Canis lupus familiaris: one gene and its partner. The protein of the gene in region 1 purifies or fractionates together with the protein of each later gene. This does not show direct contact. Links are inferred from orthologs where the notes say so. Each region holds a gene or a part of one and is shown on either strand. Other genes may lie near its edges. The genes, in order: MYL6 and IQGAP1.

Region 1 (4,530 bases):
TTTTCAGTGTGGTGGTGGAACCGAGGAATGGTGGCAAGGTGACAAAGGATGCTGGGGTGGCTCTTGGGACTTCAAACACTGTCAGACACCTTTAAAAAAACATCCTGAACGTTGAATGGGATGAAAAGCTTCGTGGTAGGGATGGAGCTGGGCCCAAGGTGACACTACAGTGACCCCTCCCTCCCGTTTCCAACCTCCAGAGCTGAAGTCCCGGCGTGTGGACTTCGAGACTTTCCTGCCCATGCTCCAAGCAGTCTCCAAGAACCGGGACCAAGGGACATACGAGGACTACCTGGAGGGGCTTCGAGTGTTTGACAAAGAGGGGAACGGCAAAGTCATGGGCGCGGAGCTCAGACACGTGCTCACCACCCTGGGTGAGGCAGGGACGGAACTCGGGGCGGGCGGGGAGCAGGGGCCAGACCAGTAGGCACGGAGGCAGGGCCGGGAAGCATTACCGCCCTACAGGCCATGGGCAGGGGCTAAGGAGGTCGGAGCCCTGGGGCAGAACCCGAAGGTAAGGGGAGGGGGTGCAGTTGCCTCCCACAGGACAGAGGAGAGGGGTGAGGTGGAAAGCCTGACTTTTTGCTGTGGGAGAGAGGCCTGCGCTCTGTGACCTGGGGCCCCCGTCCCCTTTCCCTCCGTGGAGGCGTTGACCAGGCGCGCGGGCAGGTGCAGTGGGAGGGAGAGGCAGGGCACACTGAGGGGCCCTTACCAGGATTCCTTTGGGCTTCGGCTCGGCGCCAAGCTTGGGGGGGGGGGGGGCACCGCCCGGAAGAGGAAGGGCGGGGGGGTGGGCAGGGACTGATCTGTTCTGTCGGGCTCAGGAGAGAGGATGACTGAGGAGGAGGTGGAGACCGTCCTGGCCGGACATGAGGACAGCAACGGCTGCATCAACTATGAAGGTGAGGGGCCGCGGGAGCGGCGGGAGCGGCGGGAGCGGCGGGGCCGGGGCTCGCGGTCCGGGTGGGGGGGACGGACCCGGATTATCTGAACCCGGAGCCGGGCCTGCTTCTGAACCCTCCCGCCTCGTCTCCGCAGCCTTCCTGAAGCACATCCTCAGCGTCTGAGCTCCTACAGGTAGGGCCGTCCCGCTGCGCTCGAGGCAGCTTCCGTCCCTCCCCTCGGCGGGGCCACGGAGCCGGGAAGGCGAGCCCACGGCGCCGCGCGAGCGACCGCCCTCGGCAGCTTGCCTCGTTTCCACAGGCGCGGTGGGGCTGGACTCGGCGCCCCTCCCCGGCGATGGAAGCACGTTCCTGCCACTAGGAGGTCCCCTGTTGTTTCAAAATAAAGAGACGGCTCCTCCCTAGGCGTCCGACTGCTGCTTTCTTGGTGGGGGGGGAGACGGGGGGCGGCCTCTCCTCTCCGGGATCGCCGACCCTCCGATTCCTCGCGCCTGGCTCCACCCGCCGCCGCAGCTCGGCCCCCCGCAGGGAGCGCGGCGCCAGAGGGAGGAGCGGAGGCCCCGCCCACCTCATTACTAACGTAGCGCCCTCATCTGCATAAGGCCGGGCCGCCGTTTCTATTGGCTGGGCCGGCGCTGTGACGTCACGGGGACGCACGAGGACTAGGGCAGGGCCGGGCGCCGGAGCCATTGCTGCAGGAGAGGGTCCCGCAGAGGCGCGCCGTCGCGATGGTGGGGCCCGGGCCCGGGACGCGGAGCGTGGCTCGGGGCGAGGCGGGAGGCCGGGGCGGGGCTTTGCGGAGCGAACCCGAGGGCCTGGCAGGTCGGGGGCGGGGTTGGAGAGTTCGGGGGTCTTGTCCTGGCGGGAAGCGAGTCCCCAGCACGGAGCAGGACTTAGTGGTTCAGTTGGCGGGACGGGGATGGACGCTTGGGGGCTGCAGTTGAGATGCTGACGGCCCCCCTCTTCCCTGAGCAGTGTGATTTCACCGAGGACCAGACCGCCGGTACGTAAGCCCCGACCCGCTGAGGTCGCGTCTCGGGAGAGGGGCCCCCGCCTCCAGCACTACCCCCACCAGGCCGGCCCTCTCTTCCCCCCGGGACCTACTTCCTGCCGTCTCCTCTCCCTCCTCGGCATCCTCCATTTTCTCTTCTCACTCTTTCTTCCTCCCTCCCCTTCCACTCTAGATCCGAGCCCCAAGCCCCGGGTGAGTGTTAGGCGGTGTGGGCATGAGACAACTTGGTCACCTAACGCCTGCGGTGTGTGCGGGGCGGGGAGGGTGTATTAAGTTGCCTGCGCTCCTCCGTCCCTTAATCAGCTTCTGCCTCTTTCCTCCTCCTGTGATAACACCACCCCCAGCTCCCCCCCCCCCCCCCCCCCCGCCCAGTCCGGGATTGTGAAGAGTGTAGAAAGCAGTGACCTGGAATTCTGTGAAAATGGGGACGGGAATTTGCTGAGGATATTTCATAGCAGTGCCCTCTAGAAGTCTGTACCGGAGAGGTGGGAAGTGGCAGGCAGGGATGACCCCGGTCCCCGGCTGCTGCTCCCTCTTCCTTATAAGGACAGGACCCAGACTGGGCGGTGGCGAATTCCTGCCCTGAGTGTAGTGAGGAGGCTGGGCGGGCTTGCTGTCGGCAGAGGGGCGTGTAAGTGGCTGTTACCCTTCAGCCCTGGGGAGGGGGAGGCCGTGTCGTTATGTGGAACGCCTGAGCAGGGACGCAGGGACGCTAGATCCCTCTCAGCGGGCCTGGGCGTACAGTGGTACAAACACCTGGTCTCCTCAGCATGATCAAGAGTTGACTGGGCAGAGGGGGTTTGGGAGGCAGGGTTTGGGTCAACCCCCGCATGCTCAGTGCTGATCTTGTCTGAATCTTCAGAGTTCAAGGAGGCCTTTCAGCTGTTCGATCGAACAGGGGATGGCAAGATCCTGTACAGCCAGTGTGGGGACGTGATGAGGGCCCTGGGCCAGAACCCCACCAACGCCGAGGTGCTCAAGGTCCTGGGGAACCCCAAGAGCGATGGTGAGGGTCCTCAGGAACTATTCCTCAGTGTGGTAATGGGCCTACAGTTCTTTAGCTAAGAGCTTCCCTTTATCTTCATGGGCCCAGACCTCAAGCACATTTGTCTCAACTAGCAAATCCCACAGATTACTCCTGCTTTCAGTGGGAGCCCCCTGCCCCCGTGGGAGCCCTGTAGTCTCCTCAGTCCTGAGGACCCGGGTGACTTTCCTTCCCCCTCCTTTATGGCAGAGATGAATGTGAAGGTGCTGGACTTTGAACACTTCCTGCCCATGCTGCAGACTGTGGCCAAGAACAAGGACCAGGGCACCTATGAGGACTACGTCGAAGGCCTTCGGGTGTTTGACAAGGAAGGGAATGGCACCGTCATGGGTGCTGAAATCCGGCACGTTCTTGTCACGCTGGGTAAGGCTCTGCCCTTGCTCCTTTGAGCTGAGGTGCCACCTGACACACACTTGCCACCCAGATCCCAGAATGCTTTTCTTTCCTTCTGCAGGTGAGAAGATGACGGAGGAAGAAGTAGAGATGCTGGTGGCGGGGCATGAGGACAGCAATGGTTGTATCAACTATGAAGGTGAGGGACTTGGGGCTCTCGTGGAGGAAGCGGTTGTACAGGCAGCTCTTGCCCAAGTGTTTGGGGCTCCGGAGGCAAAGGGCAGGGCCTGGCCCAGCCCGGGAGCGGGAGGCCATGGGGGTATATGACAGGAAAGAAAAGGGTAATGTGTGAAGGGTGGGGAAGGAACGGGAAGTAAAATAAAGGGAATGTCTGTTCCCCCACCACCTGAACCCTTCACCCCATGTCTGTGTCTTGTCTTCACCATGAGTGTCTCTTCCTTCCTGCAGCGTTTGTGAGGCATATCCTGTCGGGGTGACCGGCCCATGGGGCGGGTACGGCTCCTCCCAGCCTCCCTTCTCTAGTCGCCCTCCCCAGTGTTTTTCTCCCCAACCTCTGCTCTCTAGTCCCTGCCCCTCCCCTACTACCATCTGACTTCCTCCTAGCATGTTTCTGCATGGAGCTGACTGGGCAGGGGAGGGGTTCCTCAAAGAGGAAGACAGCCTGGGGGTGTGGTACCTCCTCTCCTAGAATGGGCTCTGAGGTTTTGCTTCTAGGGTCCAGGTGCCGGTGTCTGGGAACTTGCACCAGCCGGTCCCCATCTTGCTTCAGGGTGATCCTTTGGCCCTGGGGCCCAGGTGGTTGGCATGGGGGGGGGGGTGTCGCCTGCCCCATTGTGCTGCTGTAGCAGAATAGTCATTTCTTCTTCCTTCTGCTGGGCAGCTTGGAGGTACCCTAACCCAAATCTCTGTCTTCTCCTGCCAATGGCTGACAATAGCTGTAGGTGTAGTTGAGAACTTTTCTGCCTCCTGCTGTGTTCTTGCTGCTCAGGGTAGGGTGGGGGGCTAACAGCTGGTGGGAGGGGAGCTGGGGGCCGAGAGAACTGGGCAGACTCAAGGTGGCTCCTCTGCAAAGCCAAGGTTGGTTTCTGCGGGCACATACCCATGCTACCTTTGTGGTCCTGTGGTCTCCTGGCCCCTGGTGGACCCCTCCCCTTGGCCCTACTCCCTGGCTCACCCCTTTCTCCGATCCACAGAGCTCGTCCGTATGGTGCTGAATG
Region 2 (3,803 bases), on another chromosome or scaffold:
ATCCCGGGTCTCGAGGATCCTGCGCTGGGCCAAAGGTGCCGCTAAACTGCTAAGCCACCCGGGCTGCCCTAATGGTAACATTTTATTTTTTTTTATTTTATTTTTTTTTTTTAAAGATTTTATTTATTTATTCATGACAGAGAGAGAGAGAGAGAGAGAGAGAGAGAGAGAGAGAGAGGCAGAGATACAGACAGAGGGAGAAGCAGGCTCCATGCAGGGAGCCCGATGTGGGACTCGATCCTGAGTCTCAGGATCACACCCCAGGCTGCAGGCGGCGCCAAACCACTGCGCCACGGGGGCTGCCCTAATGGTAACATTTTAAAACTGTGTCTCCCCTTTGCTAGAAATGTTTCTTTGAACACAGAGCACTGACTTCTGTTAGCTCCTGCTTATAAAGGAAAACAGTGGAAGAGAACCAATGAGCCCCTGGATCCTTCCATTTGACCGATGGGATGGAAACGTAAAGGAATTTCACCTTCAAATGACAACTGAATGCCAGGAGATGACCTGACTTGTGAGTTGTGTGCCTTATGTGCATGTGTTATTCGTGTTGATAGATCCTACTTCCAAGTAACAAGAATTCAAGCCCCACCATCCCTGTTGCTAATTTAAACACCAAAGCTTACAATAGAGTAATGCAGCCTCTAAGACCATAACAACAGAGATTTTAGTGGAGCCTCCACTCTTTCCTAAGTGACGGAAGAAAATGAGGGGACAAGAGGGTCGGACAGCCTGAAATACAGTTTCACTATGAAGAAAGGGCAATAGACATCCCATCAGAGTGGGAGGGTTAAAAACGTGGCGTTGGGAGTGTATCAAGTTGAGGCTTTTTTGTGGCCTGGGTCTTTGCTTCCAATGAGTAAAGAAGGACCCAAGAAAGGTCACCGTGAGGAGCTTCTTTCCTTCATCCTTCTGGTCTGGTGGCAATGGATCAATTACTTCCCGTAGAACTTTTTGTTGAGGAGGAAGATCAGAAGGTTGACATTTACTTTAGCTCTATTAAATAATTTCATGACTGCGACTCCTTCATACTGTAGCTGCAGCAGGTCCTATAAAAACAACATTTTACAGTCAAACAAGTCTGTGGAATAAGAAAGGACATGATGTAGGGAGGGATCCAGAAGGAACAAGGAATGACAAATGTGAAGTGGTGTGAAAAAGAGGTGCCCAACCACAGAACGGTCCACTGCACAACCACCCTGAGACTCAAGGAATGGGACATGCTGCTCAACAGAATATTCTGGTACATCTGTATATCAAAATACACAAAACATGGAAAGAAAAAGCAGCATGTTCACTCATCACACATACTTCCTATTTCAGAGCTGACAATAACGTGTCTCCAGTTTGTCTAAGTGATGGGTCACCTGGGGAAGGGGGAGGCATTTCAATCTATGATAAAATATACTAATCACTGAAGACAGGATACAGCCACTAACGTCATCTCAATAGTATCCACTAGAGTCTTACTTTTTATTTCACGTGAGAAAATTTCTATATTTTGAAGGCAAGGGGAAGAAGGACAAAATGTTTATTAGGTGCCTCCAGTGTGCTCAACATTGGGTAGGCACATCAGATAGTGTCTTTTTAAGTCCTGATAAAAGTCCTATAGGTGTGATTATCCCGAGTTTAAAGATGAGGCTCAGAGATATTCAGAGTGGCATGGAGTGGATCTGGATCTGGATCTAGAGCCCCTGCTTCTCCCATTGCCCTCTACTGTCCAGAGCACATTTAGGAAGTGAGTAGTCTTGCACATGAACTTCAGAAGAGACAGAATGAGTCAAGGCACTTGAAAGAACCCAAAGTTCAAACAATGCAACTTCTGGAAAAATTCTAGCAGCTCCATGAGAACGAAGGCCCTGGTGTGTCACCTGTGCCTGACAGAACACCTGCACCTGATCCTCATTCTATATTTAATGCGCCTGTGCACGGATCAACATGCTACCGAGGCAGGCTGGTCGGCCTGTGCAACGCTGGTGAGACTAAAGACGTGACAGGATCTTTTTTTTTGGGTGTAAGCACCTGAGCATGTGCATCACAGAATCACTTCACTTTTGTTCAGCTAACATGTTTGAAGGTCTACTCATCACTAAGGAGGAAATGAAGACACACTACCGTGGGTCCTTAAGGAGCTCACGGTCTGGCAGGCATGTGTGCAGGAATAAATGAGAGGGCTGGGGGGTGGGCAGCAGGTGCAGAAGCCCAGCACACGTTCAGAGATGGCCCCTGCCCAGGCCCACAGAGCACAGCAGTGAGATGCAGTACAAGGAATGGGACAGAAGTGATGAGGACACACACGGAGCTGTGGAGCCTGGACAGAGCCCAGGAGGCCTTGTGGTACCCTGGTGCTTTTCTACTGCGTAAAGACTAGAAATATTTTGGAATAAAAAATAGGTTAAATTATGTTATAAATGATTCACTGCAGAGTTCTTCCCGAATTTAAAATGGGATTCAGTTTACAAAGATGCAATTTATACACATCTTGTCAGAAATACACTTTTAAGTCCCCAAAATCAAATCAAAATGAGAAAAGATTTCAAGCTATTGAATAGGTTTACAATTTTCTACTATCATTACTTAAACATTTTGTTCAACGTCAAGGTACCAGTTCAATTTAGTGCCAACACTAAGTAGTAGCTTCAGATAAAAGCTTTCAGAAGACGTCCAGATCTGCCCAAGCTCTCCAGGGAGTACAGACCAAGTCAGATGCACAGCAGCCCTCAGCTCCTTTCCCGCCTGTGTGGGCGCTGGCTCAATGCAGGGTGATCCAAACATGTGTCTTTTTTACCTACTGTCCACCCCAAAAAGAACACAACCACATCACATATAAAGTTTTCAGTTCTGTATGGTGCATACCCACCTGATAATGCAACATAAATGTCTCCATTTGAACACCCATGAACTTGGCTTTCACTTCAAAGTCTCCAACTTCTTCTGTTGGACTGATTTCAAAGATAACATTTTTAAACCTGTTGAAACATAACATCATAAGGGTGTGATTTTTTTCATTCTCATATAAAAATATTCTGTGAAATGTAGAAAGAATATTAACAATCTTCAAGGGGTGCCTGGGTGGCTCAGTTTGTGAAGCATCTGCCTTTGGCTCAGGTCAAGATCCTAGAGTCCTGGGATTAAGCCCCACGTGGGGCTCCCTGTTCAGCGGGGAGTCTGCTCCTGCCTCTCCCTCTGCTCCTCCTCCCACTTGCGCTCTCCCTCTCTCTTTCTCAAATAAACATATAAAATCTTAAAAAGAACAAAACAATCTTTCTTCAAGAGTGAAAAGGGGTACCAAATAAAGGCCCAAAACACTTCTACAGGTAGAACAGTGTGTGGCTACTACTCTAACTACCACATGCTCGGAGACTTGGGGAGAGCCGGGAACCTCTCCCTGCAGCCCTTGCATGCTGTGGGAAGAGGGACCATGGAGGAATGCCACCCTCTGAAAGGATGATGTCACAGGAATTCTCTTGGCTTTCCCCGTGGCCACTGCTTAAATCCAATGGTAAAAGGATAATCAAGGGGAAACTAGACTGGAAGGAGAGGGAGGAAAGGATGAATGCATGTTTGAGGATTGTAAGAAGTGTGTAAGTAAACAAAAAGGGGTCAGAACAAAAAGCCATGAGAGGGGGTGCCATAGATACAAATGCACTCAGTACCAAGTACCACCAAAGATACATTGCTATTTACCAAGAGTATTTAAGGTATTACTCATTCTCAATATGTTATAAGCCCAGAAACTTCAGTGGGGATATGTTATTCCCTGAGTGATCAAAGCCTGTTGGTCCAGACTTCTAGAATTCAAT

Evidence for each region.
Region 2: the proteins of MYL6 (region 1) and IQGAP1 purify together in Homo sapiens (affinity purification with mass spectrometry; 4 studies listed by BioGRID and IntAct, counting the BioPlex papers as one, with this or other methods). This does not show direct contact. The link is inferred for Canis lupus familiaris from reciprocal best matches to the Homo sapiens genes MYL6 and IQGAP1.

Annotation. Positions count from the first base shown.
Region 1 is NC_049231.1:828,677-833,206, forward strand, and holds the start of MYL6 (myosin light polypeptide 6), read left to right. Parts: upstream 1-1,499; 5' UTR 1,500-1,630; coding exon 1,631-1,633; intron 1,634-1,877; coding exon 1,878-1,905; intron 1,906-2,776; coding exon 2,777-2,920; intron 2,921-3,148; coding exon 3,149-3,322; intron 3,323-3,413; coding exon 3,414-3,491; intron 3,492-3,760; coding exon 3,761-3,789; 3' UTR 3,790-3,805; intron 3,806-4,506; coding exon of another isoform or gene 4,507-4,530. Other genes in the region: MYL6B (myosin light chain 6B), read left to right, coding at 201-374, 825-902, 1,039-1,067. UniProt on the Homo sapiens protein: Regulatory light chain of myosin. Does not bind calcium.
Region 2 is NC_049224.1:54,170,355-54,174,157, forward strand, and holds the end of IQGAP1 (ras GTPase-activating-like protein IQGAP1), read right to left. Parts: intron 2,970-3,803; coding exon 2,861-2,969; intron 1,050-2,860; coding exon 936-1,049; 3' UTR 153-935; downstream 1-152. UniProt on the Homo sapiens protein: Plays a crucial role in regulating the dynamics and assembly of the actin cytoskeleton.